3 linked regions of the Yarrowia lipolytica genome follow. The protein of the gene in region 1 interacts with the protein of each later gene in a pairwise test. Links are inferred from orthologs where the notes say so. Each region holds a gene or a part of one and is shown on either strand. Other genes may lie near its edges.

Region 1 (9,719 bases):
CAGCGTGGCCACTCTGGTGTCTAATAGGAGTGTTGGGCTGCACGGGCGATGGTTGGGAGTGCTGCTGGAAGTCGCCGTACCGTTGTTGCTGCTGCTGCTGTCGCTGTTGCTTTTGAATGCCCTGTCGAGCCGCATGCTGAATTGTGGAGAGATCCTGCCGGGTGTACGAGTCTGCCTCCTCCCCAGGTTCGTGCAGGAACATGCAATTGGGGTTGGGGCAGGGTTGGCCCCGCAGGTATGACGAGCAGTACTTTGTGGTGCCGTACGCTGCCCTCAAGTACTTGCCGTCGTTCATGGAGCCGTCCACGGCAGCGATACATCGAGCGGCGTCCTCCTTTTTGGAGAACGTCACATAGACGCCAAGGCCGGGGGTGCCGTTGACGTTGTTGCGCCGGTTGATGACAATCTTCTGGATGCGGCCATACTGTCCAAAGAACTGCTCGCCACGAAGAGTGTTGTGCAGATCTTCGGTGGGTATGTCTGGGTTGAGGCCGATGACATAAACGAGGTTCTTCTGGATAACTCGCATGCCCGACAGATGCTTGCGTGAGCTCTGTTCCATCTCCTTCTTTTCCCGCTCCTTTTGCTTTCGCTCCCGCTCCTGCTTGGTCTGCTTGACATGATGCTTCTTCCACTCCTCGGGCGAGATGACCTTGTACTCAACACTCTCGTCGTCGTAGGGCCGTCGACATCCGGGGCATCTGCCATTTAGCTGCGGGTTCTGACGAATGTTGTTGTAACAGAACTGGCAGATCTGGTAGCCGCACGGACAGGGCTTGAAGTTTCGGTCACTGATGTCCATCTCTTCGACGCAGAGAGGACACACCTCTTCTTCCTCATCGGAGATGAAAGAGTCTGCCTGAAATGCCATTATTGTGTGTGTCTGTCTTGGTGATGATGAAGATGCGGTTTTGTGGTGTCGTATTGTATGTGTGACGTGGTGTATGGGTCAGATCAGGTTGGTAGTGTGGCAACGCTATCTGTGTGTGGTGTAAAGAGAGTTGTATCGCCAAGTTGTCTGTTTAGTGCCGGGTAAGTTCACAATTTGGCGTGTTTTGTGCCTGCTGGGAGCTTGCCCAATTCGGCTGACTAAGTTCCACTTGTATGGAGTCTAATGACATGTGAGGACAGGACAGAAATGTGCCTAATACGGTGTTTTACTATCAAAATGCCTGTGGGAAAAAACATAAATACTTATCTGACCCCCCTAAATTCCATCTCCGACCAACCCCTACCCCATCACCGCTTCATACACCCACTTATTCAATACCTCCCACTTTTTGGTCACGTGCAGGGTTTCTCCCAACGTCTCGCCCAATCAAACTCGCCAAAATTCAATTGTCAAACCCAACTCTTGTCTGGTGCAAAAGCCTGTAATACTGGTTACGCAGGAGCCGTCGTGACACACAACACACAACTAACACAATGCTCTCTCGATTCGCCAGAATTGGCAGCATGGGCATCCGCCCCGTCGCAGCAGCCCGTGCTACCTTTGTGACCTCCGCCCGAGCCGCCCAGGCCGCCCCCTCTTGGGAGAACATCAAGGACATCCGACTCGACCCCAAGGTCCATGTTGACGAGGTTTACGAGCCCATCGTCAACCCCGCAGACCGATACCTCCAGCACGTGTCGGACCTCCACCAGTACGCCAAATACATCATGGCTGCTCTGCCCAAGTACATCCAGGGCTTTTCTGTGTGGAAGGACGAGCTGACTCTGCACGTTGCACCAAGCGCTGTCATTCCCGTCACTACCTTCCTGCGAGACAACACCTCGACTCAGTACAAGTCCATCATCGATATTACCGCCGTGGACTACCCCTCTCGAGAAAACCGGTTCGAGGTGGTCTACAACTTTCTGTCTGTGCGACACAACTCGCGAATCCGACTTAAGACATACGCTACCGAGGTGACCCCCGTCCCCAGTATCACCTGCCTGTACGAGGGCGCCAACTGGTTCGAGCGAGAGGCCTACGATATGTACGGAGTCTTCTTTGAGGGCCACCCCGATCTGCGACGAATCATGACCGACTACGGTTTTGAGGGCCACCCTCTGCGAAAGGACTTCCCTCTCACCGGATACACTGAGGTCCGATGGGACGAGGAGAAGCGACGAGTGGTTTACGAGCCCCTGGAGCTTACCCAGGCCTTCCGAAACTTCTCTGCCGGCTCCACCGCTTGGGAGCCTGTTGGACCCGGTCGAGACGACCGACCCGACTCTTTCAAGCTCCCCACCCCCAAGCCCGAGGAGAAGGAAGGCGACAAGAAGTAGATGCATAAATGACAATTTAGTTGAGATAGAGCGATGCTGGTTACATGGGAATGTAGGGTGAGATTCGGAATGAGTGCTATTGAAAAGTCCAGAGTAGGAAGATGGCTTTTCACGGAAGTACAACCCGTGATGGCATTGGATGGAGTACTTGTAGTTCAATGGTTGATGCATTAGGGTACAACCTGGGTCGATTCAGAAGGACGGCTTTTGCATGCAACATCTTCTTTGGCAGATCAAAGAGTGGGTTTCATGGGATTCGAGCTCGCAATAAGTAACATGATAAGTAGGTTACTTAGATTTTAAAGTAATATCAACACTCATCTATCTCCTAGCCATTGAGAAGTGTCGTGCACTTTCCCATTCTAAGGCAAAAGCAACAGTTACGAGTAGTTACAATATCTACAAGTACTTGTAGTGCTTCCAGACTGAGATTACCTACTGTCACCGGCACAGATTGAGAGAGCATAAGTCGACACATTGTACATACTGTACAAAGAGAATACTCTTAACTGGGGGCTTATATATAACGGTGACTACTATGCATAGATTTGTATCATGAGATCTCTCGAGCTGTATGTTTGCTTCACTTTTAGAAAAGCGGCTGGCAATCTCTGTCTTCGCACATGCACGTCCTGTTCCAGTCATTCATTGGCTATGCTTTCCAGCATTTTTCAGACATTTCTTCATTGCTCGTCAAATTTGTCATTAAATATACAGCTCAGTTGTGCACCTTCTACTAGAAAATGGTGCTCTACTTACTTTCTCAGAGAAGCCAACTCTGCCTCCAGCTGGTCCAATTCCTGCTGCTTTCTCTGCTGGTGAACCTCCAGCTCGTTCACCTGCATCTCCAGCAGATTGACCTCCTCTTCACTTTCCTTGAGGTTGGTCTCCCCCACCGACGCGGGAGCGCCGCTCTTAGCCTTCCGAAGCTGTTCCTCCTTGTAATCAAGCAATTGCTCCAGCTCTCGTTTGATTAATGCAGTGTGCGACGTGGAGTACGAGTTGCCGTGCTGTTTTGAGTCGGCGGCCGCACGTTCAGCCTTTTCCACCAGGTTCTCCAGATCCGTCAGTTCCCGCTTTAGCCGCACCTCCTCCCAGTCGGTGTCCTTGGTGGCCGAAAAGTCCGTGCCCGATGTTGAGTACGAATTTCCTCCAATACCCAGCTTCTGCAGGTAGCCGTTGGCAAACGCCTCCTTCTTGGAGGCAGGGGCGTTGCTCTTCTGGGGCTTGAGCTCGGCCTGGCTCGAGTTTATGCTGAACTCAGGGGTGGCCTTCTCAAAGGTGGCTCGCAGCGACGCAGGCACTCCTCGGGGGATACGCACTCCCTTTTCTCGATAGTTAAGCATGTGCAGAAACACCAGACACTGCTCCTTCTCGATCCGCTCGTCGGACTTGGGGTTGACCAGGTTCCAGGCCATGGCAATGTCGCCTTCGGGCACCCGGCTCAGAGTCTGGTAGAGCTCCGTCAGAGCATCATAGGAGACCCGGCCATGACGGTCACAATTGGCTGTGAAGATGGCCGAGTAGGAATCTCGATCGGCAGGCGAAATGTACCAGTCGAAATCTGTAGAGAGACCGAGGTTCTCGAGATCCTCGTCGTCGGAATCATCCAGCTTGGAGTGGGGCTGGCTGATGGCTTTGTTGGCTTCTATTAAGTGGGCCTTGGACTGTGGGACCAGCCATTGGGGTAGCGTGGAGGGCACGTCGTTGATGTTGTTGTTGAGAAGGTCGAAGATGAGTCGCATGGTAATACAGAACTCCTCAAAGTCGAGACAGCCGTCACTGTCCACGTCGGCCAGATCCCAAATCTTGGCCAACTTGTCCTCCGACAGATTGGAGTTTTTGAGCACGGGGGAAACCTGGTCGCCGGTGAGCACATTGTTGACGGGTTTGAGCCCGCTGAAAATGTCCCAGTACTTGTTGATTTCCCACTCCTCCAGCTTACCTTGAGCACTCATGATGTGGCACCGATAGTGTCTGTTAGTGAGCGATTAGCTGCATGTGGTGTTGCGGTAGGGTAACTTACTTGTTGCTGATGGGATGGGAGGGAGGTGGCTGGTTATAGGAAGTGTAGTGTCCAAGTAAGTATCGTATCGTACTTGAGTGGAAAAGCAACTACAGCTACCCCATATATATATTCGAATGGCCGTAATACATCAACTCTGTCACTGTCAGAAAGTCCAACTTCTCTATACACGTTCCAAATGACGTACACCTCATGTTTCACTGCAACCACACGGTTATCACTCGTGTGTGGCATATTAATTTCGAGGCCTTTTTTTTTGACAAAGAGGAGAACGAAGAACAACACAAGACATCCAATTACCAGTAGAACCATACTGTAGAGGGAAATGGCCACAATTAGCGCCTTATGGCGATTATCCACTACAAGAATATGACTCATTAGCTGGTCATCGTTTTACATCGTCCACCAACTATCGTACAAGTAATTAGGAGTGTATCGAACACTTCGCACCAGGTGCAACCACATGGCATCCAATCCAATCCAAAGATGGCAGTGCAAGAGGTTGGCAAATGACACGACAAGAAACACACCAGTGGAAGAATACAAGATCCCGACCATCCGGACACGTAAAAAGAAGATAAAACACCCTAAAACTCTGGGAACATCATATTAGTCACTCTAGTGTAGTTTTACCAAACTCCCCGGGCTAACTCCGTCAAATTCACAACCCCCCTGGTTGGAGGTGAGAGAGCCAATTGGGTGCTATTTTAAGTGCTCCTTCTGAAATGAAATTTTCACCCTCACAAACGGAAACACCCTCGAAAGGTAATACTAGGGACTGGATCGAAGCAGAAATCCCATAGGTGTATTTGTACAACAAATATACAGCGCTGACACGACTGTGCAGATGGTTTGATTAGCCCCAGTAAAGGCCAGCTGGCATCTACGAGTACATATTGATAAGATAACAGTGCGTCGCAAAGGTGCAACGTAAACGACCACGTCCACGGGTACAATTGTACATGGCTTCGATACGAGGCTACGATTTCTGATGCACTTTGTACTCATTCTTTTCAGTATACTCATTACATCTAGCTTTATTGAACGATGAAATTCCTTGATATAAAGCTCCACCTGAGCTTCCACAATCCAGATACTACCGATACAGTATTAACTACAGTTACTAAACATGGCTCTTAAGTAGTGTTCTTGAGGTTGGTGACCAACCACTCAAGACCCTCGTAGATACCGTCACCAGAGGTGGCACAAGTAGCCTGGATGTACCAGGGTCGTTGTCTTAATGAAGACAGACCAAGCTTCTCAGTGATCTCGGCAGCATCCATGGCGTTGGGCAGATCCTGCTTGTTGGCAAAGACAAGGAGAAGGGCGTCTCGGAGCTCGTCGTCGTTGAGGAGTCGCTGGAGCTCTTCTCGAGCATCGGGAATTCGATCTCGATCGTTGGAGTCAACAACGTAGATAACACCCTGGGTGTTCTGGTAGTAGTATCGCCAGAGAGGTCGGATTCGGTCCTGTCCACCGATATCCCAAACTGTGAAAGTGACGTTCTTGTATTCGACAGTCTCCACGTTGAAACCAATTGTGGGGATGGTGGTGACAATCTCACCGAGCTTGAGCTTGTAGAGAATGGTGGTCTTACCAGCGGCATCGAGACCAACCATCAGAATTCGCATCTCCTTTCGGCCAATGAGGCCCTGGAAGAGCTTGGAAACGTAAAGACCCATCTTGTTGTTAGTATGTGTGTGTTGTTGTAAAAGGTTGAAAATTTCTTCTCGAAAAGTCTAAGGGTGACGCGACGACTTGACACAACACCCCCCATGCAGCACCATGAAAAATAAAGAAAGCCACGCGAGCAATCAGACAGCGACAGCACAGGCGTGGAGAGTATGAAGTGTCAAACACGACGCCATCCGTGTACTGCTTGGCTTCCATCCATCCTCGCTTGCCTTTGATTGCCCCGAACCCCCCCCCTGTTGTTGTGCCCTATCATACATGATGATACGCATGTGCATAGCCATAAGATAAACGTGTCGTTTTGTCACGGTGGCGTTGTGGGAGGTCGGCAAATAAAAATGGCACAAGTGTATGCCTCGGTGTCGGAATGGATGGCGGCTGTTTGATCATGTTGATTGCTGGTCGATGGCGTTGGGGACACCTCTGTTCATCGTATCTTGTCATGTGTTTCGGGGCTCACACCCCTAGGTGCTGGGAAATGATTAATGGAGGAGCTCCAGGGGCCCATCCATCGTCGAGAGATACTCACTCTAGTTCACGCAATCGATAAAATGCAATAAGTTAATGACAAAGTCTTGATTATTCAAAATCGAATGAATAAGACTGTCTGGGTTGAGTGCTGCAATTAGTCCAGAAAGGAGTTTGTGTTGGTTGTGGGACGAAAAAGGCCAAATCATCATCAGAGTCAGGGAGGGTAACGCTTGTCGGGTCACGTGGCTTGGAAATGCACAACATTAAATGCAACAATGACCCAAGCTTGATGAGTAGGGGGGGGGAAGATAATGAGCTATACACGTGTCTTCGAGCATTTGGAAGATAATAATCCACCAACCCGCCTGGCCCCACTCTTTATGTACTAGTTTCAACCGACTTTCCTCACTTACAATACCATCTCTAGTCTCGCTGTCGTTTCCCTGCTTGTTTTTTCTGGCTCCGGAGATTCGCGTGCATCGGATTTAGTCTTAGGTTCGATGGACCAGCGTGTCAAAACAATGGAGGGGAATGAGCGTGAAACTACGGTACAACTAAGATGCGATACACTGTCAAGTATCGTACTGGTGTAGGAGTGGGAGAGAGTGATTGTGAAGGCAAAGACGGGCTTTTTCCTAACAAGGAGACGGACGCGTTACAGTAGCTACTTGAGACCGTTGTAGGATCCCAACTAAGTCTCGGTTAGTAATACTTCCACACTGATCAGTCTTGCTCACTATAGACCTCGGACAGTGTATACGGCAGTATACAACAGTATTCAACTGAGAGTCACGTCGCTTCGGTGCACGTACAATTGCCATCTGCATCAAGTCAAATACCCCATTTAGACCCCTACCGGCCTCATGCTCTCGTAGCACATGCCCATCTGCCCCATATGGCCTCACTTTACCCCATTCGAAGCCATTCTCTTTCACACCTCCCGTGTGCACGCAGTGCAGCCAGCTGGCCTTCAGATGCCACGTCATTGTTTGACCCGGCTAAAAAAGGTTTGGGGACGTGCGTGAAAAGTGAAACCGTGAGGTGGAAAAAGGGACGCTGTATTGCGAGAGACACAACCGATAGAGTAGACGATCTGGGGTACCCGTACTGTACTTATATTGTTTGATTCAATTGAATTATTTATTAACGTGTGTTTTACTGCGTATACAAGCCCTTTCCTATCACTTGAGCCCGTAAGTCAATCTAGCCCTACATATGAGTCGTAGACCCATGCTCGCGTCCCTCAGCCATTATACAGTAGCTTACGCCAGGCCTGCTCTACAGTAATAAACATCCTTTCCCCCCCAACCCCACCAAATACAGTAGCTTGCCGCCGCATGACGTGGACTGTAGCTAATACTGTAGTTTGAGATGACCTAATTAATTAACCGAAGAGAACAGCAAGATGGGAGATGTCATCGCCGTAAAAGTGGCCAATCTGTATAAGAGGACACGCAATGGCGGAATAACGGAGATATATTAGCCCTCCAACGTCCACTTACAACTACCCTGCCTAGTCCCAGCTTCCCACCCTTCCCATTCCACACATCTGTTTTTGGCTACTGCAGCGAAGTGGGCATGCTGATCTGAACAAACTCTCGAAAGACCACCTGGCACACACAAGATTACATATTCTACCTTTCACAATCTTCCTGTGTTAACACCACACCATACAACAATGTCGATCCGAGGCACCGCCAAATACCACCAGATACCCGTCCAGAGCGACGCGCCGCAATTCGCAGCCCCCCAGGGTCAACAGTTTTCGTCCTACTCCCAGAACCGCGACTTCAACCTCAAATCCACAATCACAGAGGGCGACTTTGCCGACAAGGTCAAGGCCGTGACCCAGAAGATTGAGGTCTTCCTGGACAAGTACTCGGGCCCGGTCAAGCCCCATCTTCCCACCCTCGGCCGGTTCCTCATTGTCGTCACTTTCCTGGAGGACGCGCTCCGAATCCTCACACAGTGGTCTGACCAGGTCTACTACATCACCAACTTCAAGCACATCCCCAAGTTTATCACCGTCATCTTTCTGCTGCTCAACGTGGTTGCCATGATCGCCGGATCCTTCATGGTCACCGCCAAGAAGCGAATTGAGGTCGGTTGCGGTCTGCTGGTCGGAGTCATTGTCACCCAGGCTCTGGCCTACGGCCTCATCTTTGACTTTGGCTTCATTCTGCGAAACCTGTCCGTCATTGGCGGTCTTTTCATCGCTCTTAACGACGCCTTTGTCAAGGACAAGTCCAAGCGAGGTCTCCCTGGTCTCCCCTCTATTGACGACAAGGACCGGTCCAAGTACGTGCTCCTGGCAGGCCGAATCCTCCTGGTTGTCATGTTCACCTCCTTCATCCTCAATATGACCTGGACTATGTCTCGAGTTCTGGTGTCCATTGTCGGAATTGCTGCTTGCTCCATGGTCGTTGTTGGCTTCAAGGCCCGAGTTTCCGCGTTCCTCCTGTGCATCATCCTCTTCATCTTTAACATCACCGCCAACTCCTACTGGGCCTTCCCCGCCTCTTCTCCCGTCCGAGACTACCTCAAGTACGAGCACTTCCAGACCCTGTCCATCATTGGCGGTCTTCTGCTGGTTGTCAACACCGGAGCCGGCAAAATCTCCATTGACGAGAAGAAGAAGGTCTACTAAGCTATTACTAGTCAGCAACAACACTTTGGTAGAGTTTGATACAGACATTGACATCTACCGCGATGTAAAAATAATGTATACTAGGAGAGTCTGTCGTTCGCGAGTGGCAATGTCATGAGTTACACCTGATTCAAATAGTGAATAATAATATAACAGCCACAAATGAAAGATGTATCCACGGGTAGATATGGCTTTAATTACTGATGATTGAATGATTATCTGAGTGCTACAGTTGTAACGAGTACGAGTTATTACCTGCTACTATTGTACTCCTAAATCAAAGTACTCGTACATGCAATGAATTACTTGTACTTGCGCCAATCAGATCTATCGATTGTATTGTATATAATACTAGTCTATTCTTTTGCTTACCAGATGGTGTAACCTCCATCGACAATGAGATCGTGGCCGGTCATGTAGCTGGAGGCGTCGGAAGCCATGAAGACAATAGGGCCTCCAAACTCCTCGGGCTCAGCCATTCGTCGGAAAGGAATTCGTCGCTCCCAGTCGTTTCGGAGCTCTCCGTCAGTCTCGATGATGTGACGGGTCAGAGGAGTAAGAATGTAGCCGGGAGACAGAGTGTTGACTCGGATGTTGTACTGGGCCCACTCG
Region 2 (11,494 bases), on another chromosome or scaffold:
AGTACACTTCGGAAATCGCGAAAGGTTGGACACGCACTACGCTCAGATCAAGGAGGACCTCAAGGAGTCGCTGCGACGCCTTTCACTATGGGGTCTCCCCTATTACAGCAAGGCGTGGATGATCAACATCTACTTCTTCTCGAAACTGAATTTCCTTGGACCCTACGTCAGCCAGATCGACAACACCTTCATCCGAGAGCTGAACGAACTAGCGTGCGACAAGATCAACAAATTATCACCCGACAAAACACGCAAAACCTTCAGCAATGGTTTCATCCAAACTCCGGTAGGCAGAGGAGGACTGAACCTGCGGGACATGGGACGTTTCATGGTGTGCCTGAAGGCCGCTCGGGCTTACAGGTTCTTCCATGGCTCATCGCCGGCCCTTTGGGACTGCACCTTCCAGTTCTACAGCAGAACTCACAGTCTCACACAGGAAAAGCCACACCAGCGCGTCGACTGCCGCTTTCCGACAGGCCAAGCTTGGGGCTACGCAGCCTCCCCCACCATGCGAGACGCAATCAGAGCTTCTTTCGAGCTCAACAAGCCCCTCACCGCGGAACATGCCAACCCTCGAGAAGATCACGAGCCCTCTACAACAGACACAGTTAATCACAGAATCTGGGAACGAAACCAGGTGAACGTGAGAGCAGCAGAATCTTTCCGGGAAGCACACGTCGACATCGCAGCCGCGAGACGATACCATCCGGTCAGAATGGTGTCCACAGCGGAAATCGACCACCTCCGGTGGAGCATGGGACCACTTACTCTAGAGAACTTCATGTTTCACAAGACCTCGTCTCCCGACTTGCCAAACTTCCCACACACACTTGCACGACCGAAGAAGTGGACTCAACGAAGCGACTACGGGGGCATCTCTGACGACATGGTCTGGCAGGAGGTAATGCATGACCTTCGAAAACACTACATCGCCGACGCCAACAAAGCACAAGTTCTTCACCTCATGCGGATATCTCGACTTCCGCTCGTGAAATGGAGATACCCTGACGACCACGTTTTCACCAAGAAGAATCCAGGATGCGGGCTCTGTGATAAGGCCATCATTCAGGATCTGCACGAGCATATCTTCTGCAAGTGCGAAGTTCTTCTTTCCATGTTGACCAGGATGAAGATTCCGTCAGTGGACTCTCTAAAGGACTGGATCTTTACCGAGTCGAAATGTGGAGTACTCCCCTCTTTCCCAGGGCATGTGAACAGTGACGCCCCCCGGAAACATCAACAAGTCAAGACACGCAAATATCTGCGGGAATTGGCTTATGGGATCTGGAAGATGGAGAGATCCCTCCGGTACTCAGGGGACGACGCCACCCTGGGACATGTCCAACAGGGTTTGCTTCAATTCCTGAAGGAAGCCCAGATGTGTTTCTACGATGGACAACCGCCAGCACTTCACGATGAGCGAGAGTAGACACAGTAGCAAGCGTAAAAGGCGGCCGAGGCCACCGAGAGAACAGCGTAGCAGGGCGCGTAGTCACCACAGGGGACGCAGAACCAAACCAATGACGAAGAAGAACCACAAGGAGAAGTTTTCAAAGGCAATGCAAATGAAGAGGGCAATGGAAGGATTGAGATTAGAGAACTGGAGACTGGAGTGGCGTTTTCCCGATGAACGAACAAACACGCGAAGCTATGTGGACCAACATACAACACGGACTGAACCAGGTTTTTTTATGATTTTTTTACTGGAAATAGGTACGTGCCAAGTTGGACCATGACACTAAACGTGTTTAATTAGTAATATTCGTGTAAGCGTACATTCATTTCAAAGGTTATTCTTTCACGGCAAAGTTATAATTAAATGAATGTATATGCAGAAAAAAAAAAAAAAAACAGTGATACTTAGAACAGCCCTAATTACTGTAACAATGGTATCACTCTATATATATGACCCATGAAAAAGACCCAAAAATACAACAGACCCTGAAACCAGACTGACCAGTTTATTCATCATAAAACAAACGTATACACATTTTCACTCTCGATAAAATGTTCCTGAAACGAAAGATACTTGCGGGGATCATGAAATCAGCCCAATTTGACCAGTCAATCGTCCCTACAAAAGAGTGATACGGCTGATGGAGCATTTTCATGCCCCAAATGTCCCCATTGTTACACGTGCACGGGAGCAGTTATATCACCTGTGGTGCGTATATTGGTGATATCTACAAGTAATAGTATCTACTTGTATGTGCTGTGCATACAATAGAACATACTGTATTTTAGCCGCTCAAATAAACTCTGCAGAAACTCCAAACTCACCTCCGTGATCTAGCGATAGCACCCTACAGTAGCTAGAGTCCACATGCAGGACCGGTCGCCACATGAGATTCGTCACGTTCAACATCTGTGGCATCAACAACGTGCTGAGCTACCATCCATGGAACGAGCAAAGGTCGTTTGAGCACATGTTTGCGGTGCTGAAGGCGGACGTGATCTGTTTACAAGAAACCAAGCTCCAGCCCCATTTGCTGAAGCGAGAACACGCCCTTGTGCCCGGATACGATTCGTACTGGTCTTTTTCCAACACAAAAAAGGGCTACAGCGGCGTGGCGGTCTATGTGAAACATGGCATCAAAGTTCTCAAGGCCGAGGAGGGTCTTACCGGTCAGCTGGTATCTCCGGACTCCAAAAAGGGACTCACCTACCAGCAGCTGTACGAGCGGCAAAGGGAGAGAGACGGCAGCAGCAAGAGTTGTATCGGCGCCTATCCCGAGGGCAATCCACAGCGGCTCTTTCAGGTCGATTCGGAGGGCCGGTCTCTTGTGTTGGACCTGGGGTTCTGTGTCGTGTTTGGGCTCTACTGTCCTAGCACCGCCACCGAGGGCGAGGAGCGAGATGCCTACAGAGACGACTATTTTGGGTTGCTGGAGGAACGGGTCAACCTTCTGGTTGAGGCTGGACGAGAGGTGGTGGTCATGGGAGATCTCAATGTGGCACGCGAGCTGTACGACTCAGCTGAGGGAATGCAAGCGCTGCACAAGGCCAAACACATCACTCTACCGACACTGGGAGATAAGGAGGAGGGCAGGTTTGTGGAGGTGTTTGAAAAGCTCAACCCGGGACAGTGTAAGAGCTGGAGGGAAGCCAAAGTTGGCCGACGAGTCTTCCACAGACTGGTCCCCGACCTGTTACAGGACTCGTGCCGCGACAAGCATCCCAATCGACCCGACATGTATACTTGCTGGAACGTGATGATGAACTACCGGCCCGGAAACTTTGGGTCTCGTATCGACTACGTGCTGGCCTCAAAAGGTCTGAAGGTGGAGGATGCCGATATTCTGCCCCACCTGGAGGGCTCAGACCATTGTCCCGTTTATGCAGAGGTGCGCGAACCAGACGCGTGCCAAGAAAAAGACAACCGTGCCACTCAAGGTGCAGCTAACCAGACCAAACAAGCGTCGTCCTCAGCCCCAAACTCGTTTCGGCCAAAACTGTTCCACAGAACTAACAAGCAGTTTGTGCAGACCACCTCGGTCATGTCCATGTTCCGGGCACAAACGCCGCCGACCAAGGGCATTACCAAACCCAAAGCGCCCTCCAAATCGACTGCCAAAAAACAGGCGGCCATCTCCTCCTTCTTCCAAAAGCCAGATCCAGAAGCTGCCGTCGTATCAACATGCGTCTCGGATGTGCACACAAAGCCGTTGGGACAATCACAATCACCCGCCGCGTCCCCAAATATTGAAAGGACCTATCAAGGTTGCGATGCAGGTGCGCATGCGACTCGAGAGGGTGAAGATACGAGACCGCAAATGGCCACCAGACTGGACTTGCCAGAGCCCACCGAGTACCTAGACATTGCGGAGCGCGTGGAGGAGGCCGAAAAGGTCGCGTCGCAGTGGTCCAAGATCATGACAAAAAAACCTGCCCCCGTCTGTGCCCACAACCTCCCGGCGGTGCTAAGAACCACCCGCAAAAAGGGACCCAACCAGGGCAAGCACTTTTGGGTTTGTGGCCAGAACCACTCGCTGCAGCTCGTCGGCGACTCCTACAAGGCATCGGCAGACCCCGACGCCAAGGGCTCCCAGGACGACACCAGTGCCAGATGTAACTTCTTTCAGTGGAAATAAAATTAAATTATAATACCGTTAGTGTGTCCAATGATAAACGTACAGTGAGTACAGAAAATTACCAAGCTCAACCCAGTGTGGCATGCTTAAAAAGCTGCCTGTTGGTGAACGAGCGAGTAGTCAAGTCATCATAAGGAGAAACGAAATCATCAATATCCAGAATGTCAAAATAGTCCTGCCCATCGGGAGGCTGCCGAGGGACGTGCTGCTCCTGTGAATCTGATCTTGGTCCTTGCGATGGGAGAGTGATATCATCCAGGGGCATCATGAGGAATTCTCGAGTAGGTGTATCGAGAACAAAGTTGGGGTCATAGCACGTAACGTGAGAGTTGTTGCTAAAGAAAGCAGTCATTGGGCTAACAGTCATCCTTCCCCCGACACCAACGGTAGGGCCGACCAGTACTTGGAGAGCAGTAACCTTGTTCTTACCCTTTGCTCCCTTTTTCTTAGACTTAGTTGCACCCTTCTGGACCTTCGGCTTCTTTGGGGACTTGGGCAGTTTGTTCGGGATATACTCAGGATAGTCGACTTCGTGGTATAGGGCTTCGAAGAAACCCATATACTTGAACCATCGCCGAACAATAGGATTGGGGATTCCCGAGCCCCAGATATAACTGGAGACCCTCGAAACAAATGCTGAGTTGGGATCAATGCTCTGAGAGCATCTGGATGTTGCATTTCGGAACAAGATGTAGCTGTTCCTAGGTTTCAGAACTTTGGGTTCAATGTACTCAGGCTCATTCGTTCGACTGTCTTGCCTGATGAACAGCCCCTTGTGACCGTCATATTGCAAAAAGTTGAGTGATATTTCCAGTCCATTTGGCTTCTGAGTTAGAACCGTACGTGAATCGCTAGTGTCCCTGTCGAATAACATAGCCTCGGGGTAGGGCTGTTCTGTTTGGGGTAGTTGAAAGGAATGAATGTGTAGTATCGTGTTTTCCATTTTGAGGATGTTATGTGTGGCTTGGTATAGCTGATAATAGCCAGCCAAGAGAGTTGCATGTTGTTTATATATATTTGTCGATATGTGTTGGTCTGGAAATACTAGATCTCTAGTTTAGGCAATTGTGATGAGGCAAGAGCCAATGTCGCTTAAGGTGTCTTTGTTCCAGAACCATATGCACGGCGTGCATGAATAATATCGGGGTAAACTAGCCACATCCACCTCGTCTGACCAGTCCAAGTGACCATTGTAAATATATATCTAGAAACGGCCCCACCAAGTACACCCTGGTACTTAATTAAACAGATACGACATTTTTTTTCTCCCCACATCACATGCCTAGCCGAACCCCTACAGATATCTGGCGCTGCCAGCGCCTGATCTTGGCCGCAAGAAAAGGCGAAACCACGTGCCAGGCCCTTCACGAACAGTCAATCGAAATCTCCAGTTCCCTTAAATGGTTTGAAGAGATTTCTGAGTGGATGTCCAAATTCCCTGAGAGTGGACTCTACATAAGCACAACGATTTGGACCTTTTTGGAGGGTGTTCCAAATGAACACAGAATCAAATACGACAGGCTGATTCGCCACTACATCACTTACATCCAGCAACTGGTACCAGCGAGATTAGTGAGTATATTGAAAACAAGAGCAGTATTGGGGAATACTAAAACAGAACGAATGGATGACCAGTAAGGCCATACTGGGTGCTGATTGGAATGATGAGTACAGTCTTGCAAAAGGAATTGCCGCAGAGCTGCTTGATGACTATCTAGAGGTCGCAGCAAATTTAGACAAAGACATAGAGGCGAAATCAGAGGCCTATGAGGCCAGCACCAAAGACCTCGAAGTCAAAGCCAGAGCTCTAAAAGAAGCTGACAAGTTGCAGAGTCTGGATCACAACTGTGACGTCTTTCCTAAGAAAGTCCGGAATAGGTTAAGTAACGAGGTTACCGCCTATCTTGACTCTCTGTTCAAGATCTGTTCTCATCCAACCAGAACAGAGAGGAGAATTATTGGAGAGCATTGTGGAATCTCACTTCATCAGGTTACACAATGGTTCACCAATCGTCGGTTCAGAGAGCCCAAGACGGATTCCCCTGATGATGGATCAACTAGGTTCATACCTTCACCCATGACTAGTCCCGGGTCCATTGATGAGTGCAGCTTCCCTGAGAGCCCTTAGCATTTCTAATAAAGTGGTTACAGTGGGGTTTGTCTCATGCATGTCAACATAATTTGCATCGTAATAAATAGTGTGTGTCATAGTAACATAGAACTGTCGCATTGGACAGTTGTCATGTAACGAGTAAAGCATCGCAGAGCCTTCTTCATCATTCGATCACTAAAAATATCATTTCATTCATTTACCATACATGTTATACATACATCAGCCGCGCGTAGCTTAGTCCTCCTGGCCAGGAATGGACTCCTCCTCGTCCTGATGCAGGTAGGCGACCTTTCGCATCTGTCCAAGTCGCTTTCGGGCGCCCTGCAGATCGTTTTCGAGCTTGAGAATCTCGACCTGCTGTTCCATTTCGGTCGTCTTGAACTCGTGCTTGGAGAGGGCAGCGTAGTCTACCTTTTCGTCCAGCTCGCCAAACTTCTTGTTGAGAATTTCCTGCACCTGCTTAGGTTTCGGCAGGCGGAAGTAACCACCTTTGAACACTCTTCCAGCTTGTCCTGGGTCTTGGACATGAAGGTAGCCTTTACTCGAGAGGCAGCAACCAGCTGAGCAGTGGAAGCAGCGACGTTGTTGGAAGCCACAATGAGCTCCTCGAGACCAGAGGTTCGTCGGAGAGTGCCGTCGGCCTTCTCGATGAGAATGTTGGTCGATGCAGCTACACTCTTGGCCGCGGAAATAAGACCCTCGGTCCACTTGTTGTTCTTCTTGTAGAACTGTGCTCGAGAAGAAGTACCTCGTCCCTGGGCTACAATCTCGTTCTGGGCATCGGTGGCAGCTCGAATCAGCGCAGCAATGGCGTTGATGACGGCCTGGGCAGCCTGGATGGCAGCCTCGTGCAGCTGCAGGTCGGTGGTCGACTTGAGAGGGTCGGACTGGTTAAACTTGAGCAGATCGCCAAGCTTAGCAGAAGCAGCAGCAATGGCATCAGCAGCCTTGGCCATCTCTCGCTCAACGAGGTCGCCCAGATCACCAGACATGTTGATGTTGGTCTTGGGGGCCATTCGCTCGGCCAGCTTGGTGAGGTGCTGAAGAGCAGTCTGCACGTTCATGTTGAGAGTGATGACCCGCTCCATCTTGTCATCCAGAGGGAAATCCTCAATGATCTCAGACAGAAGACCAATAAAGTTTCGCTCTGTGGCCTCGGCAGACTCACGAGCAAAGTTGACAAGGGCGTCGGCAGAAGCATCGTCCTTGGCCAGACGAGTGAGACCCTTGGAGTTGGACAGAACATTCTCCACAGCAGTAGAGTAGATGTTGACGGTCTTGATGATCTCGGCGTAGTCGCCATCGGTTTCGTCGGCCAAGAAGTTGTTGAACGACGTGGCAAAGGCGGAAGCAGACTCGGACGCCTTCTCGATGACAGACAAGAGATACTCGGGAGTCGAGTTCTGGTTACCGGCCTGCATAGGCGACTCGAGCTCGAAGAGAGCGTCCTGAACACGCTGGGAACCGGACTCTAGAAGAGCATCAATGATAGAATGCAAAGCAGCCAGGGGAGTGGATCCACCGTTGCTGTTGTTGCCCTGCTGCTCCTGGTGCAGAGCCAGCGAGTTGAAGGCTTCGTTGAGAGCCTCGTACTCAATCTCCTTCTCTTCCAGTCGTCTCAACAGATCAGAGTCATCTCCTCGCTCGTCCAGAGCCCGCTGCTTCATCTTCAAAGCATTCTCAAGCTCTGAAAGCTCTCGGTTATGCTTCGACAAAAGAAGAGACAGATCAGCACCGGTAGATCGGTCCTTATCGGCCAGCTTGTCCTGGGCCATTCGAAGCTCTCGTTCCAGACGCTCCACGTCCTCCTTGTTGCCACCCTTGGCACGGTCAAGATCATATCGAGCTCGATCTCGCTCCTTGATGAGATCAGCAAGCTCAATGTTCTTGTGTCGCATGTCTCGCTCCAGCTTCTCAGCCTTCTCAATGGCTTCCTTAGCTGACGCAGCCTTCTGTTGGGTAGCCTTGAGCTTCTTGAGCAAGGCAAGATATTCCTCTCGCATGGACGAGTACCGTTTGGCCAGAGTCTCGTACTTTTGCCGCCACATGGTGATCTGCTGCTGAAGAGATTCAATCAGATCATCCTTGGCCTGGGCGCTCTGATGAGCAGTCTGCTGCAGCTGATTCAGCTCAGCCTCCAGAGCCTTTACTCGACCATCGTACTGCTCCAGCATGAGCTGATCCTGATCGTACTGACCTCGGAGAGCCAGAATGTCTCGCTCAAGCTCGGCCATTCGACCCTGGGCATGTCGGGCCATCTGGTCGGCCATTAGTTGTTCCTGAGCCCGCTGTTGCGCTTCCATCTGCTGTCGCTGCTGCATTTCAAACTGCTGCTGCTGCTGCATCTGCATCTGCCGGATGCGCTCCTCCTCCATGGCCTGTTGCTGCCGTAGCCGCTCCTGCTCGGCGTCGTACTGTTGCTGGGCGAGCAGCGCGTCCTGGGACCAAAAGTTCTCAATCGGCTGAGCCTCAGCAGGAATAGAGGGCGTAGGGGTCGCCACAGGCAAGGGAGCGGGCTCTGGAGACACAGATCGGGTCTCGGCCACGGACTTGGGTCGCTGGGGGAGTCCAGGTCCGTCCTCCTCTTCAAGCAGGTTGGGAGGGTTCTTGCCGAGCTGCGGGATAGTCACGATGGATCGCAGGTACTTGAGAGTAGAGCAATCGTAGTAAAAGTCTCTCAGGCGGTCGTGCTGCGAGTAGAATCGCTGCCGGAGAGACTCAAGAGCCTCGTCGTTACCAGTAGACACATGCATGGCTCGCAGCATGGAGATGACGAACCGGTAGATTCCGTACGACTCGGCAATCATGGGAACCAGAGACGAGATTTTGCACTCGTTGGATCGGGATCGCTGCAGCGACGAGAAGACAAGTCGCTGGAAGTCGTCCACTCCGTCCTGGAGGGTCATCAGGTTCATAATGGCCTCGTATCCCTCGTTGGGGTCGTTAACGGTTCGCAGAGAAATGTAATCCTCGTACTCAAACATTCCGTTGAAGGCCGGGTGGTACTTGTGGAAGGTGAGCTTCTGCATGAGGAACCGGACATACTCGGAGATGAGCTTGCCATAACCATGGTTGCCCTGGTTAGGACCAGTGTAGTTGTTTCCTCGAGCCAACGACTGGATGAAGTTGACATTGGCCTGGGCATCTCTCAGCGCCGATGGGTGGCCCTCCTGAAGCACCTTGTGGATGGTGATCAGGGCCTTGAAGACCATGACATCGTCGGTCTGCAGGGGCTGAATTCGAATGCCGTTCCAGAAGGCCTTGGACGACCGGTGGTCATGGGTGTACACAATGCATGCTCGCACGTGTTTCCGCTTGGGCGCAGACTCGTCTGTGTTGGTCGCCTTTTTGATGTTGACGTTGAGGTCCACTTCGGCTCTGTTGGAAGACATCGTAGAAGGGAGTCTGAACTAGTTGTTGAGTTTGTGTCTTTAGCGGCTGTGTCTGTGTCGGGTTCGTTCGTAGTCGCTGTGTCTGATTGCTTTTGTGTCTGCGTGACTCCTTCCTCGCTCAGATGAACAACTCCAAGTCCAAGTTCAGTAAAGCAAGTGACACCGGTGATAACGCATAGCCTCGTTATGCGGTGTTTTTATTGGGACAACTTTAATGTCACAGTGTTAAGTCCGAGTGAAATTTGAGGGTCTCTAGAGCTGAGGAGCAGAGAGCGAAAGTGGCAATATTGTTGCATTAATACGGACTTGCTGAACTTGTGCCATGTCAACTTCTGGGACTCTCCAACACCGAGATCAACAGAGTTTGCCACAATACGAGTACGAGCACATACTGACACGTCAAGGACATCTCCAATACACCTACATACATGAGGAGTAAAGACGGCTAGCACTCGTATCGATCTAACCGGCTTAGTAAGAACCCTAGAATAGCTCAATTGAGAACACAAAGTCTTTGGGAGTAATTGTGGTCCGAATAAGTCCCTGTATAACCACTTGGAGGACTTATCAGAGGGTTTTATATCATCCTAACCGCCCCCTCATGCTGATGCTGCATGAGATATTAAACGGGGAGTATGCAACCCGAGAACAGAACTGTGTGAGTGTTTGTGGGGAGTGTGTATGGGGTCACGTGATAGATACCAAGCGTCTCATGACGTGATAAATAAGGTCCGTCTATCGGTCTTTCTCTTACTCAGCAGCAAGCGCTTGCGAATGGCTTAGCTACGTGTCTCCACACTAAGACATGGGGTATGCATCTTTAGGTTGTGCCGTTTGGAATCTGGAGGTTTCGTGGGAGGGGTTTGGAGGGGAGGTTAGAAGTGGTATTGAGAAACTGAAGACGTAAAGGTGTTTATTGCAACTTTGTGGTTCCATTTCAGCTTTAAAAATTTCAATCTGGTGAGTATTGCGTCTTTTGGTAGACTTGTTCACCCCCCTAATTAGCGCACAACAATACGACACCTAGAGCTATTTCGAGAGACATTGAAAAAAGATTGGAGAGACTTAAAGAGATGGGTTTATGAAGTGTAACAGCCGTGGCTGGGTGGCGAGAATGGCAGTGATGACTAATTTTAGGGAATTAAGCAAAATGCCGTAATGCAGACATGTTTTGGAGGGTACATTAACTAGTTTTTGGGTCAATAAATACAGGTAATTTAGTTAACATAGTGGTTAGGTATTGGTTAAGCAAGATATGACAAAGGTATCACGTTCTTATAAAAAAAATATAAAAAAATATAAAAAAATATGGAGGTTTAGCTGACTTCGTTGTTAGATATTGGTTGAGCTGGAGATGATCTGGGAGAGGTTTTTGGGAAGCCTCGTGAACGCCATTTGACTGCTTGTTGAGAATTCACCAGTTCCCCTGATGTTAGTGGGTCTGGTTCCGTGTGATTCATGCCGTAGTGTATCCCTAACTGGATCTTTGGTCCATCTCAGCTAGATAGCTAAGCGTAAAGACATCATCGTACCGTGTCTAAAGTTCATGGGATGAGTCTACAGTAGATCAGCGGTGTTTTTCCGACGTCAGATTCACCTCAAACTAATCACTTGCATCAGTACAACCAGACCTTTAGTTTCATTACTCAGGCTTATGTAACTCACGCTATCGAGCAGTCTACAGCAATCGTCAAAGGTACAAGCGCCAAAATCAAGTCATATTCTGGAACAGTACGGCTCTCACTTCAGATTACCATCTCTTGCTCTCGTATATACGTTGCGCCACCAACTCCAGCCTCCGTTACCCCCAATATTGCAGCGTCACACTGGCGTTAATGGTGCATGGTATGGAGCAAGTGGAAACAGAGTAGAGGGCTTAGAGAGAGCTTAGATGGAGC
Region 3 (11,623 bases), on another chromosome or scaffold:
CTTGGCTAGAGCGACATGATTGCAGCAGTGATGGGTTTGTACGGTCGGTGGGGAATTTTGGTTTTTCCTGGTAAATAGTCATATCTGGGTTCTCGTATCCATGAAAAGAGGCGCTCCAGGTTGAACTCGAGATAAGTGAAGAGTATTAGTGAAGAGTATAAGTGAAACTGTTGGTCTTGGGGTCACCATAGATGGATGTACTGGTACTCATATGATACCTTTTAACTCCTGAGAGTGTCTTGCAAGATTCTCAAGACTTTACAAGCCTTCTCATCTCCCATACATACAGTATTGACAGGTATGTACGACTTAGTATGTACTATATTTCGTCAGTAATGGTTGAATAAGTATCAAATAACTGTACTAACAAAATCTCTCTTCATTTCAAGCTCATTTAATTATTATATCGTATACTATTGGGCTCGTTTCTGCCAGCTTACTTACTGGTAATCTCGGAAGGGCTTAGTACTTGGCCAGAGGTCGCTGGGCCCACTGTTTCTCGGCAAAGTCCCAGTTGAGCACCTCCCAGAGGTTGTCAAAGTAGGCGGCCTTGTTGTTGTAGTACTGGATGTAGTAGGCGTGCTCCCAAAAGTCGATTCCCAGCAGAGTGACGGCTCCGGGGGCCGAAATAGCGTCCTGGTTGCTGGTGACCTCGATCTTGAGAGTTCCGTCGGGGTAAGACACGAGCCAAGCCCAACCAGAGCCCTGGAGAGCCAGAAGATCAGCCTTGAGCTTGGCTTTGAACTCATCCAGAGAGCCAAACTGCTTGGCAATCTCCTCCTTGAGTTTCGCGCCTCCCTTGGCTCCGTCGGAAGACGAGGGGGTCAGTGACTTCCAGAAAATGGAGTGGTTGACATGGCCTCCTCCGTTGAAGTTGATGGCCTTCTGCAGAGCAATTTGTCTGACCACGTCGTTGGCGGCGACAGCCTCCTGCAGCTGCTTGGTGGCAGCATTGAGGTTGTTCACGTAGGTCTGGTGGTGCTTGGAGTGATGGATCTCCATGATCTGGGCGGAGATCTGGGGCTCGAGGGCCTAGGTTAGTACGAGAGCAGAGGCAGAGTGATTGACGGGATCTAAACCAGGGAGAGCAGACCCGATAGTTGACAGGGCTAGACACGTCGAGTCCCGGGAATCACTTAGGGACTCGATTAGTTTAGACAGAGACCCGGTTAACAGACGGACTAGGCACCACGTGAATCAATTGAGTCGGGTGAGTCAATCAAGTTGCTCTTCCAATAGATTTGTACCATATTTGGTCATGTCTGGTCACACAGAGACAAGGGACTATTCCAGGTACTGTACCGACCTCCATCCACTTAGACCGGAGCATTGATGCTGACTGATTGAGACCATGCATGAGACGGTTGCCTAGGGGTAGTTGCTTTAGCCAATGAGGACTGACCCATTGGCAACTGTCTGTCCATCTGTCATTATCTTCAGGGCCCGTCGAAAAATCTATGTCTGTCGGGTCTGACCCTGATCGTGTCCGACCATGTCTGACCCTGACCGTGTCCGGCCGTGTCCTCCATGTTCTGTATCCTCAACAATACTCACATCATAGGCGTAGGGGAGAGGGGGCAGGACGTAGGACATTTTGGTGTTGACGAGAGCAAATTGGGGTCTTGGACTAAGAAAGAGAAAGCTGATTCCTGGGGTTGTAGCTTGGGGTTTAAGAGAACCCTGGTGGTTATGAGGATAGTGGAAGGTACAAGGAACTGAGGGGACGGAAGCAAGCCACGATGAGCAAATTGCAGCTTTGAAAACGTGCAAATCAGGCTAGACTTGTTGTTTCCGCAGACTAAATCTGCTCAATTGATTACATATATGCTCATTACGCCGTTCTAAATGCTCATTATTTGCTCACTGGATAGAGACATGGGGTCCGAAGCCACATGGACGTGTGACTTTTGGTAAACTGAAAGGTCTTGTTTGTTTTTGTGGATAACACGTGAGATACCGACTATTCGGCTCACAGACGGATATTTCTCAATTTTTCCTCGATTTAATCCGATTTTCAATTGTGTATTTCGTCTCATGCTCCCCACATTAACGGACTTGCGCCATTCATGTACCGTTGATGACTCGGTAAATTGAAAAAGGAAATTCAGAAAATTCGCACTAGTCAGAAAATTCCAAACAAGTCAGAAAGTTCCAAGATAATTCAGAAAATTCCAAGATAATTCAGTAAATCGGAAGAAAAAAAACCATATGCTTCAAAAAACACCAATATTCATCAACAATCTCACTTTTTCGCCTCTCAGTGCGAAAAGCAAAAACACTAAATTACTGGAGGTGTATTTGTCAGCATCTCTGACTGTCACCCAACAGGACTTACTGTACCGGTAGGAAAGAAATAAGACTCTACATGGGTGTCATGGGTGTTTCTATGCCTTTCTCTGTCAGATAACAGACCCAATCATCTCCTAACTACTCTTATAAGTCGCTGGCATCGACCTCATGATTCTTCCTCCAACGGTGGAAACACGACGGCGTTCCCTCATGTGATTATTGGAGGTTTTCCCGTATATATGATCCTTCTGGCTTGATTTATCGGCTCAGAGTGAAGTTGCCCAAGGATATCAATGGTTTATCACCCTTATTTCTCCATATTTTTGTTTTTCCTGCCTGCTCTAAAAAAAAAAAAAAAAAAAAAAAAAAAAAAAAAAAAAAACCTAATTTATTTTTCTGATTTTCGCCACAAAAATTTTAGGTTACGATTAACCTCGATGAACATGTACGCTGTCTGTTAATTAATTTTTTCCATTATATTGACTAGCGCAACATTGATGGACGAGTTATCACGGCTTTCGGTGGACGTGGTCGACCAGGGCACGCTGGAGAACCAGATCACCAATGAGGCAGACTCGATTCTCAAGAAGCGCGAGTTTGAGATCGACACCAAACGGCTCTCCAAGGCGCAGGATGCTGAAAAGACGTTTCTCAGTAAACTGCGGTCCATGGAGCGAAAGATCAATGATCCCGCCACCAAGATCAGCGAGCGCGAGAAGCTGAAGCGCGACGTGGCCACTCTCAAGCGCACCGAGCTCGCCACGGTCCAGCAGGACATTTCTGACATCAGACAGCGACTACAAGAGAACGACACCAGCAGTGCAACTACAGAGCTACAGGCGTCGGATCGACATGAAGGCGAGTCGGAACAGGAGTACCTTGTTCGAACCGGAAAAATCACCCCGTTCGCCAACACCAGGGGGTTTACTAGAGGAAAAGGAGATGTGACTCAGAACATTGATACCAGCAAGCCATATACTTCGAGCACTATTACTGAACTCGGTGATATCAAAGAGGACGACGACGATGACGGAGAGGATGAAATCAAGGACGAAGAAGATGCTGAAGACGACGCGGACGCTTACTCATCTGGATACACTACGGACGAGATTGAACCTGAAGATATGGAGCTTGTGGAGCTGAAAAAGAAGCGGAGACGTACCGAACGACCAGAGACGGAAGCTATCGACGACGGAGACGAGTGGTCTTATCAGCAACGGCTTAATTGGTGGGTGGAAAAGCGCCAAAAGGCTAGGGCCAGAGCCGGAGTCATCGTTCCTGCCAGTGACTATGCCAAGGAGGAATGGCTTTTAGACGGACCTGAGGCCGATGCTATTCTTGAGGGCAACTTCAAGGTGCCTGGAGAAATCTTCAATGCTCTATTTGACTATCAGAAGACGTGTGTTCAGTGGTTGTGGGAGCTGCATACGCAAAAGACGGGAGGTATCATTGGAGACGAGATGGGTCTGGGCAAAACTATTCAAATTATCAGTTTCCTGGCCGGTCTGCATCATTCTGGTCTGCTTACCAAACCCGTCATTGTCGTGTGTCCTGCCACAGTCATGAAACAGTGGGTTGAGGAGTTCCATAAGTGGTGGCCGGCTCTGAGAGTGGTGATTTTGCATAGTATGGGCGAGGGGAGCAAGGGCAAAAAGAAGCGCAAAGGTGAGATTGACTCTGATGACGATGATGATGAAATGATTAGACCCACTCCTTCAAGCACCAAGAATCTCGTTGAGACTATTGACAAGGTGTTTAAGGACGGCCACGTGGTTGTCACGACCTATGCAGGTCTCAAATCGTATCGCTCGCTGCTTCTGGACCGTGAATGGGGCTATTGCATTCTTGATGAGGGTCACAAGATTCGAAATCCTGACTCTCAAATCACTCTCGACTGCAAGCAGCTCAAGACGGTGCATCGGCTGATTCTGTCAGGAACACCTATTCAGAACAACCTCACCGAGCTGTGGAGTTTGTTGGATTTTGTTTGTCCCGGTCGACTGGGTACCCTGCCTGTCTTTCACTCGCAGTTTGCTGTTCCTATCAACGTTGGAGGGTACGCCAATGCTACTAACATCCAGGTCCAGACTGCCTACAAGTGTGCCGTTGTACTTCGAGACCTGATCGCACCGTATCTCTTGCGTCGAATGAAGACTGATGTGGCCACTGATCTGCCCAAGAAGGAGGAGAAGGTGCTCTTCTGCAAACTGACGGACTCGCAAAGGCTGCATTACAAGGGTTTCCTCAAGTCCGAAGAACTCAAATCGATTCTGGCCGGAAAACGGCAGTCACTATTTGGTATCGACATCCTACGTAAGATTTGCAACCACCCTGACCTCGCGTCTCGAGAGATCCTCAAGAAGACAGCGGATTACTACTACGGAGACCCTGCCAAATCAGGAAAGATGCAGGTGGTCAAGGCTCTTGTGGATCTGTGGAAGAAGCAGGGTCACAGGACGCTTCTTTTCTGCCAGACTCGTCAGATGTTGGAGATCCTGGAAGACTTCTTTGCTAACATGCCTGACATCAAGTATCTTCGAATGGACGGCACCACACCCATTTCCAAGCGGCAGGATATGGTAGACACATACAACAAGGACACGTCGTACGATTTGTTTTTGTTGACAACTCGAGTGGGAGGGCTTGGTGTGAACCTCACTGGAGCAAATCGTGTCATCATTTTTGACCCTGATTGGAACCCCAGTACGGATCTGCAAGCTCGAGAACGATCCTGGCGTCTGGGACAGAAACGAAATGTTGTTGTCTACCGCTTGATGACGGCAGGTACGATTGAAGAGAAAATCTATCATCGGCAGATCTTCAAGCAGTTTCTGACCAACAAGATTCTCAAGGATGCCAAGCAGCGTCGTTTCTTCAAGATGAACGACATTCACGATCTGTTTTCGCTTGACGACGGAGAAGGAGACACCACCGAGACGGGTATGATTTTCTCCGGTTCCGAAAAGAAGATTGAGAACAAGAAACCCGAGAAGAAGATGAAGGACGACGACGACTTCTACCAGGTGGTCGGTCTCAATGGAGTGTCCAAGCTTGAGAAGTTTGAGAACGGCGAGGAGGAACGAGCCGAGAGTAATGACGGAGATAACGATGACAACATTCTCAACGACATCTTCTCTCAGACCGGTGTGCATTCTGCACTTGAACACGACGCTATCATGGATGCGTCTCGTCCAGAGACCGTTATCATCGAACGAGAGGCTAAGAGAGTTGCTGAAGTAGCTGCCAAAGCTCTCAGAGACTCGCGGAAGAAGGCACAGGCCAACGACATTGGAACTGTGACTTGGACGGGCAAGTTTGGCAGTGCCGGAAAGTTTGGCAAGAAGAAGCAGTCGGCTGGTAAAGTCGGAGTGCCGAAATTTGGGTCAGACAAGTTCTCTTCGTCCTCCATTCTGCAAAACATTAAGGCGAAGAAATCCCTGGAGGAGTCTACTAATGCATACACTGGTCTGATCAACATGAGCGATCTGGACAAGGTCAAGCTGCTGGAGAAGATCAGCGAGAGTCTCAAACTGGCCGGAGCAGGAGGCTTGTCGTCGAAAGACATTGCCAACGAGTTTGCTCTCAAGTTGACTAATCAGGAGGAGGTGGCAGTCATGAGACAGCTACTGAGACAGGCTGGAGAGTGGAATGGAGCCACGAAGAAGTGGAGGTATAAGGCCGTCGAGGATGTGGGAGATGAGGACGAGGAGATACAGGAGGTGGTCCCCGTGGATGAAATGGGAAATAAACTGTAGATAGATATTTATAATGCATGCTTCAACATGAATCTGATTATTGTCATCAGGCACGACAACTATTACTCGGACAACGAAAAGGAAAACCAATCTTGCCTTGCCTACAGTACCAGTTATGGGATAAAAATATGTAAATCCATTTATACATGATGCAAAGATTCTTCTAGTAGTTGAGCTGGTTAATCACAGCATTACGTCTTCCGTTGACCGGCCTCCTTCGCACTCGACGATAGCGCACTCGGACAACGTCCTCAACTGTACTACCTCCGACTCATCAAATGTACTACCACCGACTCATCAACCCATTCTCCAACTTTCTCACCACCTCACCATACTCGTTTCCCTGTCCCTGGTGATTCCTGGTCAGCTCTGATGGAGGAATGTACGCGGGACTGGGTTGGGCCTGGATATGGTCCGCAGGATTAACCATAGCCGTTGCTCTCTGAATAGGCGGCGGAATGGGATCCATGGATCCATATGTCAACGCTCGCGGTCGTCTCGAACCCGAACCCGAGTTCTGCTGCTTCAGACCGGTGCTCCAGTTGGCAGGAGGCTGCATGTGTGCATACTGCGCCGCCTCAGCAGACGTCTGAGCTGCGGAGGAGCCTGCAGCTGGGCCGGGGGGGACCATGGCATTGGCGTTCTGGCCCTGAGCGTGTAGAGGCTGGGACTGCGAAATGGGCTGGGCTGTCGGTGTGGGGTGGAAGACGTCCTTTTCTTCCTTGGGATGTGGCACAAAGGGACCTGTGAACTTGGACTCGGTGATGAACGGATGAGATGCCGCCTGTTGAGGAGTCCACCGCTCAAAGGGATTGTAGTTGAGCAAACCCATGAGGAAATCATACAGCGCCTCGCGGTTGAGCATCTCCTTGTCAATATCCGCCCGCTTCATATCCTTCTTATGCAAGGGGTACTCCATGATAATGGTTTTGAGATTTGCAGATGTGAAGTACTGCTTGGACTCCTTTTCATCCACGTTAAACTCACGGGAGTATCGCTCCCGCGACTTGAGCCGGTATCGCTTGCGGCCCTGGTCGTCCACAATCTTTTCCATGAACTTGCCGCTGTTCTTGCCCATCTCAACCATCCAATTAGGAGGGTCACCCAGAGATGCCACTATTCGAGACAGCTGGTTGTACTCAGACGCTCCAGGGAAGATGGGAAGACCGAGGAATAGCTCGGCAATGATGCAGCCCATGGACCACATGTCGATGGAGGTGGTATATGGGATACCGAGCAACACCTCGGGCGATCGGTAAAACCGCGATTGGATATATGTGTAGACAGTTTTTCTTTCGTGGCAAGCAGACCCAAAGTCAATCACCTTGATAATGGGACTATCGAGGTTTTTGAGCAAAATGTTTTCGGGCTTGAGATCACAATGGATGAGTTTGGCGTTTTTCAGCACTGTGAGAGAGTCCAGAAGCTGGCGAGAAAACACCCTGACGAGATTGATAGACAAGCCCCGGAACTGGTTCTGTTTGAGAAGTTCGTAGAGGTTAGAACTCAGCAGCTCAAACACGAGACAGTAATGTTGCTTATGCAAAAACTTGTCCTTGAGCCGCAAAATGTGGTGCTCGTCCTTGTTGTCGACCGAGTTATTCAGGTACTCAAGAATCGACACCTCCATCATGCTCTGGTTTAAGAACGCTGGGTTGTTCTTAATCACCTTGACCGCCACAATATCCTTAGTCTTCATGTTCTGGCACTTGACCACTTGCCCAAACGTACCCTGACCCAAAATATCTAGTACCAGATAGCGCTTGTTTTCGTCAGTACCCAGGACGTCATTAACGTACAGAATGTAGTCGTTGTCTCTGTTGTCGTGGCCATTGTTAAGCTTCGGCTCACTGGGCTTGGTGAGCACCCTGCGTGGGTTCTTGGACGACTCGTAGTTGAAGCCCGAGTTGCAGATCTGGTACGTGGCTGACAGCTGCAACGTCAGACACATGAGAGGCGACATGTAGCCGCCCTCGGGGATTGCCCGACGATTCTGGGGTCTTGGGTTGACCTGGGGATTGAGGTCAGAAGCCCGTTCAACCGGTCGGAAGGATGGAGGAGGAATTGACGCAGGCGGCTCCTGCGGTTGCGGCTGAGGCTGTATCGGTGGCTGTGGTGGAGCTGCATGAATGGGCTGAGGAGCCACGTGTACCGCTTGAGGGGCCGACTGAGGAGCTGTGATGGGAGGTGGTTGTGTTTGAGGTGTTTGTTGTGCCTGTTGCGTCCAATAGTATGGCTTTGTTGCCGGCATGGCGGGATTGTAATGCTGCTGGGGTGTCTGTTGATGCTGCTGCTGCTGCTGCTGCTGGGGTTGTTGAGATGGTTGGCCTTTGCGCACCGGTGACACCCGCGATCGGGCGTAGTTGCCTGCGGGGGTGCTGTGAGGGGACGCCCAGGGGTTGTAAGAAGCCGATTGGGGCGTTACAGGTGAAGAGGACATTTGCACTGATCCCAGAGGAGTGCCGGGCTGCATCTGAGGTGCCAGTGGCGTGCCGGGTTGCGACCTATACAGCGGTTCATGTGGCGACGAATGTTGTTGATGCTGGAGCCCGGGGGGCAGGCCGTACTGTGTCTGCGTCGGGGGATAGTGGCTGGGTTCGTGTGAGGGTCTGCGGGTCGACACAGGCGACGAGGGCTCGTATTGGTGCATGAGCTGCGGGTGGGGCAGCTGTTGGGTCGACAGGGCGTTGGACATGGACGTCTGGAACTGCGGATGCGGTTGCGAGGGCGAAAAAGGACCCATCTGCTGTTGGTGGTAGTACAGACTGCGTTGTGAGTGGGACATGTGCGGAGATCCCATTCCTGCTGAAGTTGAAGAGGCAGCGGCTGCCGAGCTCGAGGCCGACACGTTGGGCGCGCTCTCAAAGCTCTTACGGTAGTAGTCTGTCGGGTACGGTGGCTGTTGTTGTTGCTGTTGTTGCTGCTGCTGATGCTGCTGCTGCTGTTTGTGTCCGATCAGCGACGGCATCAGGTGCCCGTTGGACGACATTTTGCGGTGATGCGGCGACGGCGAATGGTCCATCACGGTCACGGCGGCGGTCGGTGTCAGGCTTGCACTCCGATCGACAAGCGAATGTTGAGCGAGCAGTGGCACAGAGTGTTTGCGGAGCGCGATCGAGCCGAATGACGTGGCCTCGTGAGAAGGATAGGGTGCAGACGCAATCTCGGCGTGGTCCGAGGCGGAAGAGTCCCAATGGCAGAGATACAAGTGCAGATACACTTGGTGATGTGGAGTGTCAGTGTAGCCCAAACCAAAGTCTAATTCATAACATGGGGGGGACCACAGTGGAAAACGTCAAACAAGGAAGTGGAAGCAATCTCTTGGCGTGTTTGAAGGGGGTAACATAATAAATGCCCCCCGGTGAACAGGTGGACCAGAAAAGGCCATCAGTAGGTCCGTCGCCGCCATCGCATTCGTCCCGGTCACGTGACCTCCCACCTCCCACCTCCCATTCGATACACTTCCTGCTGCACTACATGCGGTGACGTGTGAGCACATATTGTAGCATCAGTTGTTTCATGCGGCGGCGGCGGAATGCTTACTAATGCGCTTGAGCGGGGTGTTCTGGGGGGAGGGTGCTCTTGGTCGTCGCATCGGTTACCCTACCGTGGTACTCTCGGTCCTGTCATACTGCTACCAGAAACTCGCGCTCGAGCCCCCTATCACTACTGTGCCAGTATATCTATGACGCATTCTACTGAGGGTAATTGCGGGCACAGCAGGGGTCTGTCAAGCTTTTTTTACCCGTTGGGTTATTATTAGTATTTCCACTTCTCTTCCAAACCTTTCAACTAGCTTTCCAACTAATCTGCATAACTACGCTGCAGTACAGACAGTACAATACACACACATGAGCCACCAAGAAGAACACTACGCGTGGCGACAGACGCTCCAGGACATCACAATCACCTTCCCCGTGCCTCCAGGCACTCGTGGCAAGCAGATGGATATCAAATTCACCCCCACGACCATCTCGGCAGGTGTCGTGGGCCAGCCTCCCGTTCTTCAAGGCGATCTGTTTGGCAAAATCGCCCCTGAAGAGTCAACGTGGACTGTGGAGGACCAGAGAGAAGTCACCATCAGCATTGAGAAGGTCCACAACCAGGAATGGTGGCCACACGTGGTTACCACGGCCCCCAAGATTGACGTTTCCCAGATCGAGCCAGAGAAGTCCAACCTCAGTGATCTGGACGGAGAAACACGAGCCATGGTGGAAAAGATGATGTACGACCAGCGGCAGAAGGAAATGGGCCAGCCCACGTCGGACGAGCAGCGCAAGCAGCAGCTCCTGGAGAATTTCAAAAAACAGCACCCGGAAATGGACTTCTCAAAGGCAAAGATCAACGAGGGCTTTGGAAACATGCCTCAATAAGCGAACCAACCAGCTCATCGAAGCTGTCGGTTGCAGTAGCAATCATCTAGGCGTGGTTCCATTCTTGTGGTGTAATTCTGTCTGTCACGGACAAGTCCACGATACATTATTGGTCTAAATAAGTTATTTTCATTCATATAGTTATGCGATTGTATTTGTAATTCAATGTATCAGAATCCAAAGGAGAAGGCGCTCATGTCGGGCTCCTGGAACTGGCTCGGGGGAGCTGGTTTTTTGCCATTTCTTTCCTTCTTAGTCTTGTCACCGTTCTCAGTGTTGTCTTCGGGCTTATCCGCCTTTGGTTTGTCCTCCTCCTCCTTCTTCGCAGCATTGACACCATTCTTTTCAGTGCCGCTCTTTGGTTTGTCCTCTGTCTTCGGAGAATCATGGAAACTGTCCAGCATCGAGGGAGGTTCACTGGACGTTTTTTCTTTCTTGGGCTCCTCATATCCACTCAGCATGGAAGGTGGCTCCTGGAAACTATCCAACATAGAAGGAGGATGACTAGCGTTGGTCTTGGACTCCTTCTTTGGCTCATGGAACCCATCCAACATCGAAGGAGCTCCTTTCCCACCACCACCCATGTCAAATCCCTCCAACATGGAAGGACCCTCGCTAGCAGGAATGGGGGCCGGTTTGGATTTGAAGTCCCTGAACGCAGCAAGGGAGTCCGCGTCAGGCTTCTGGTTCTCCTGGACGTCCTCATCAGCCTTCTCAGGAACCTCGTCCTTCTTGAATTTCCAGTTTCGGACAAGATTCAAGGCAATGACCTCGCAGCCCATTCGAGAGTATAGCTTGGCAGTAGTGAACACACTTTGCAGCTCGGTGGCTGATGTGACGCCGTTGTTGGAGCTCACCACCTTAAACTTGGAGTCTCGCAGGAACTGGTACAGAATCAACAGAGCTGGGTCGTTGGAAAGGAACGACCGCGAGTTGGACACGATATGTGCAGAGCCCCGCTTCTTATCCTGATACTCGTGGGAAACCAGTGATCGAACGGCATCGCCTCGTCGGTCCTGGCTCCAAAGACACCAGTAAATGACCCACTGGTCACCCATCTTTAGAGCTTCAGGAAGAATCTCGTTCTTGATCAACTCGTTGAGAACAGGACCGTTGTCGCCCTCGTAGACACGACAGACGGCAATGGCCAGCCCGGTATCGTTGAGTTTACGCGTAATGACGTTGACACAGTCCTTGAGCGAGTCT

What was found.
Region 2: the proteins of YALI1_F03389g (region 1) and YALI1_C09923g interact in a protein complementation assay, tested with the Saccharomyces cerevisiae proteins (2 studies listed by BioGRID, with this or other methods). The link is inferred for Yarrowia lipolytica from reciprocal best matches to the Saccharomyces cerevisiae genes END3 and SLA2.
Region 3: the proteins of YALI1_F03389g (region 1) and YALI1_C23755g interact in a two-hybrid assay, tested with the Saccharomyces cerevisiae proteins (2 studies listed by BioGRID). The link is inferred for Yarrowia lipolytica from reciprocal best matches to the Saccharomyces cerevisiae genes END3 and RAD26.

The regions. Positions count from the first base shown.
Region 1 is NC_090775.1:334,739-344,457, forward strand, and holds YALI1_F03389g (uncharacterized protein), read right to left. Parts: upstream 4,230-9,719; coding exon 3,027-4,229; downstream 1-3,026. Other genes in the region: YALI1_F03356g (uncharacterized protein), read right to left, coding at 1-871; YALI1_F03371g (uncharacterized protein), read right to left, coding at 1,384-2,442; YALI1_F03407g (uncharacterized protein), read right to left, coding at 5,434-5,979; YALI1_F03428g (uncharacterized protein), read left to right, coding at 8,139-9,107; YALI1_F03452g (uncharacterized protein), read right to left, coding at 9,476-9,719. UniProt on the Saccharomyces cerevisiae protein: Component of the PAN1 actin cytoskeleton-regulatory complex required for the internalization of endosomes during actin-coupled endocytosis. The complex links the site of endocytosis to the cell membrane-associated actin cytoskeleton.
Region 2 is NC_090772.1:982,789-994,282, forward strand, and holds YALI1_C09923g (uncharacterized protein), read right to left. Parts: upstream 9,597-11,494; coding exon 6,612-9,596; downstream 1-6,611. Other genes in the region: YALI1_C09803t (uncharacterized protein), read left to right, coding at 1-1,429; YALI1_C09851g (uncharacterized protein), read left to right, coding at 2,343-4,091; YALI1_C09878g (uncharacterized protein), read right to left, coding at 4,159-5,034; YALI1_C09885g (uncharacterized protein), read left to right, coding at 5,719-6,219. UniProt on the Saccharomyces cerevisiae protein: Required for cellular morphogenesis and polarization of the cortical cytoskeleton. It might act in concert with proteins such as CDC42 and CDC43 to limit the region of cortical patch formation to the cortex of the bud.
Region 3 is NC_090772.1:2,372,790-2,384,412, forward strand, and holds YALI1_C23755g (uncharacterized protein), read left to right. Parts: upstream 1-2,786; coding exon 2,787-6,044; downstream 6,045-11,623. Other genes in the region: YALI1_C23738g (uncharacterized protein), read right to left, coding at 463-1,032, 1,307-1,357; YALI1_C23818g (uncharacterized protein), read right to left, coding at 6,328-9,066; YALI1_C23826g (uncharacterized protein), read left to right, coding at 9,896-10,417; YALI1_C23873g (uncharacterized protein), read right to left, coding at 10,588-11,623. UniProt on the Saccharomyces cerevisiae protein: May be involved in the preferential repair of active genes.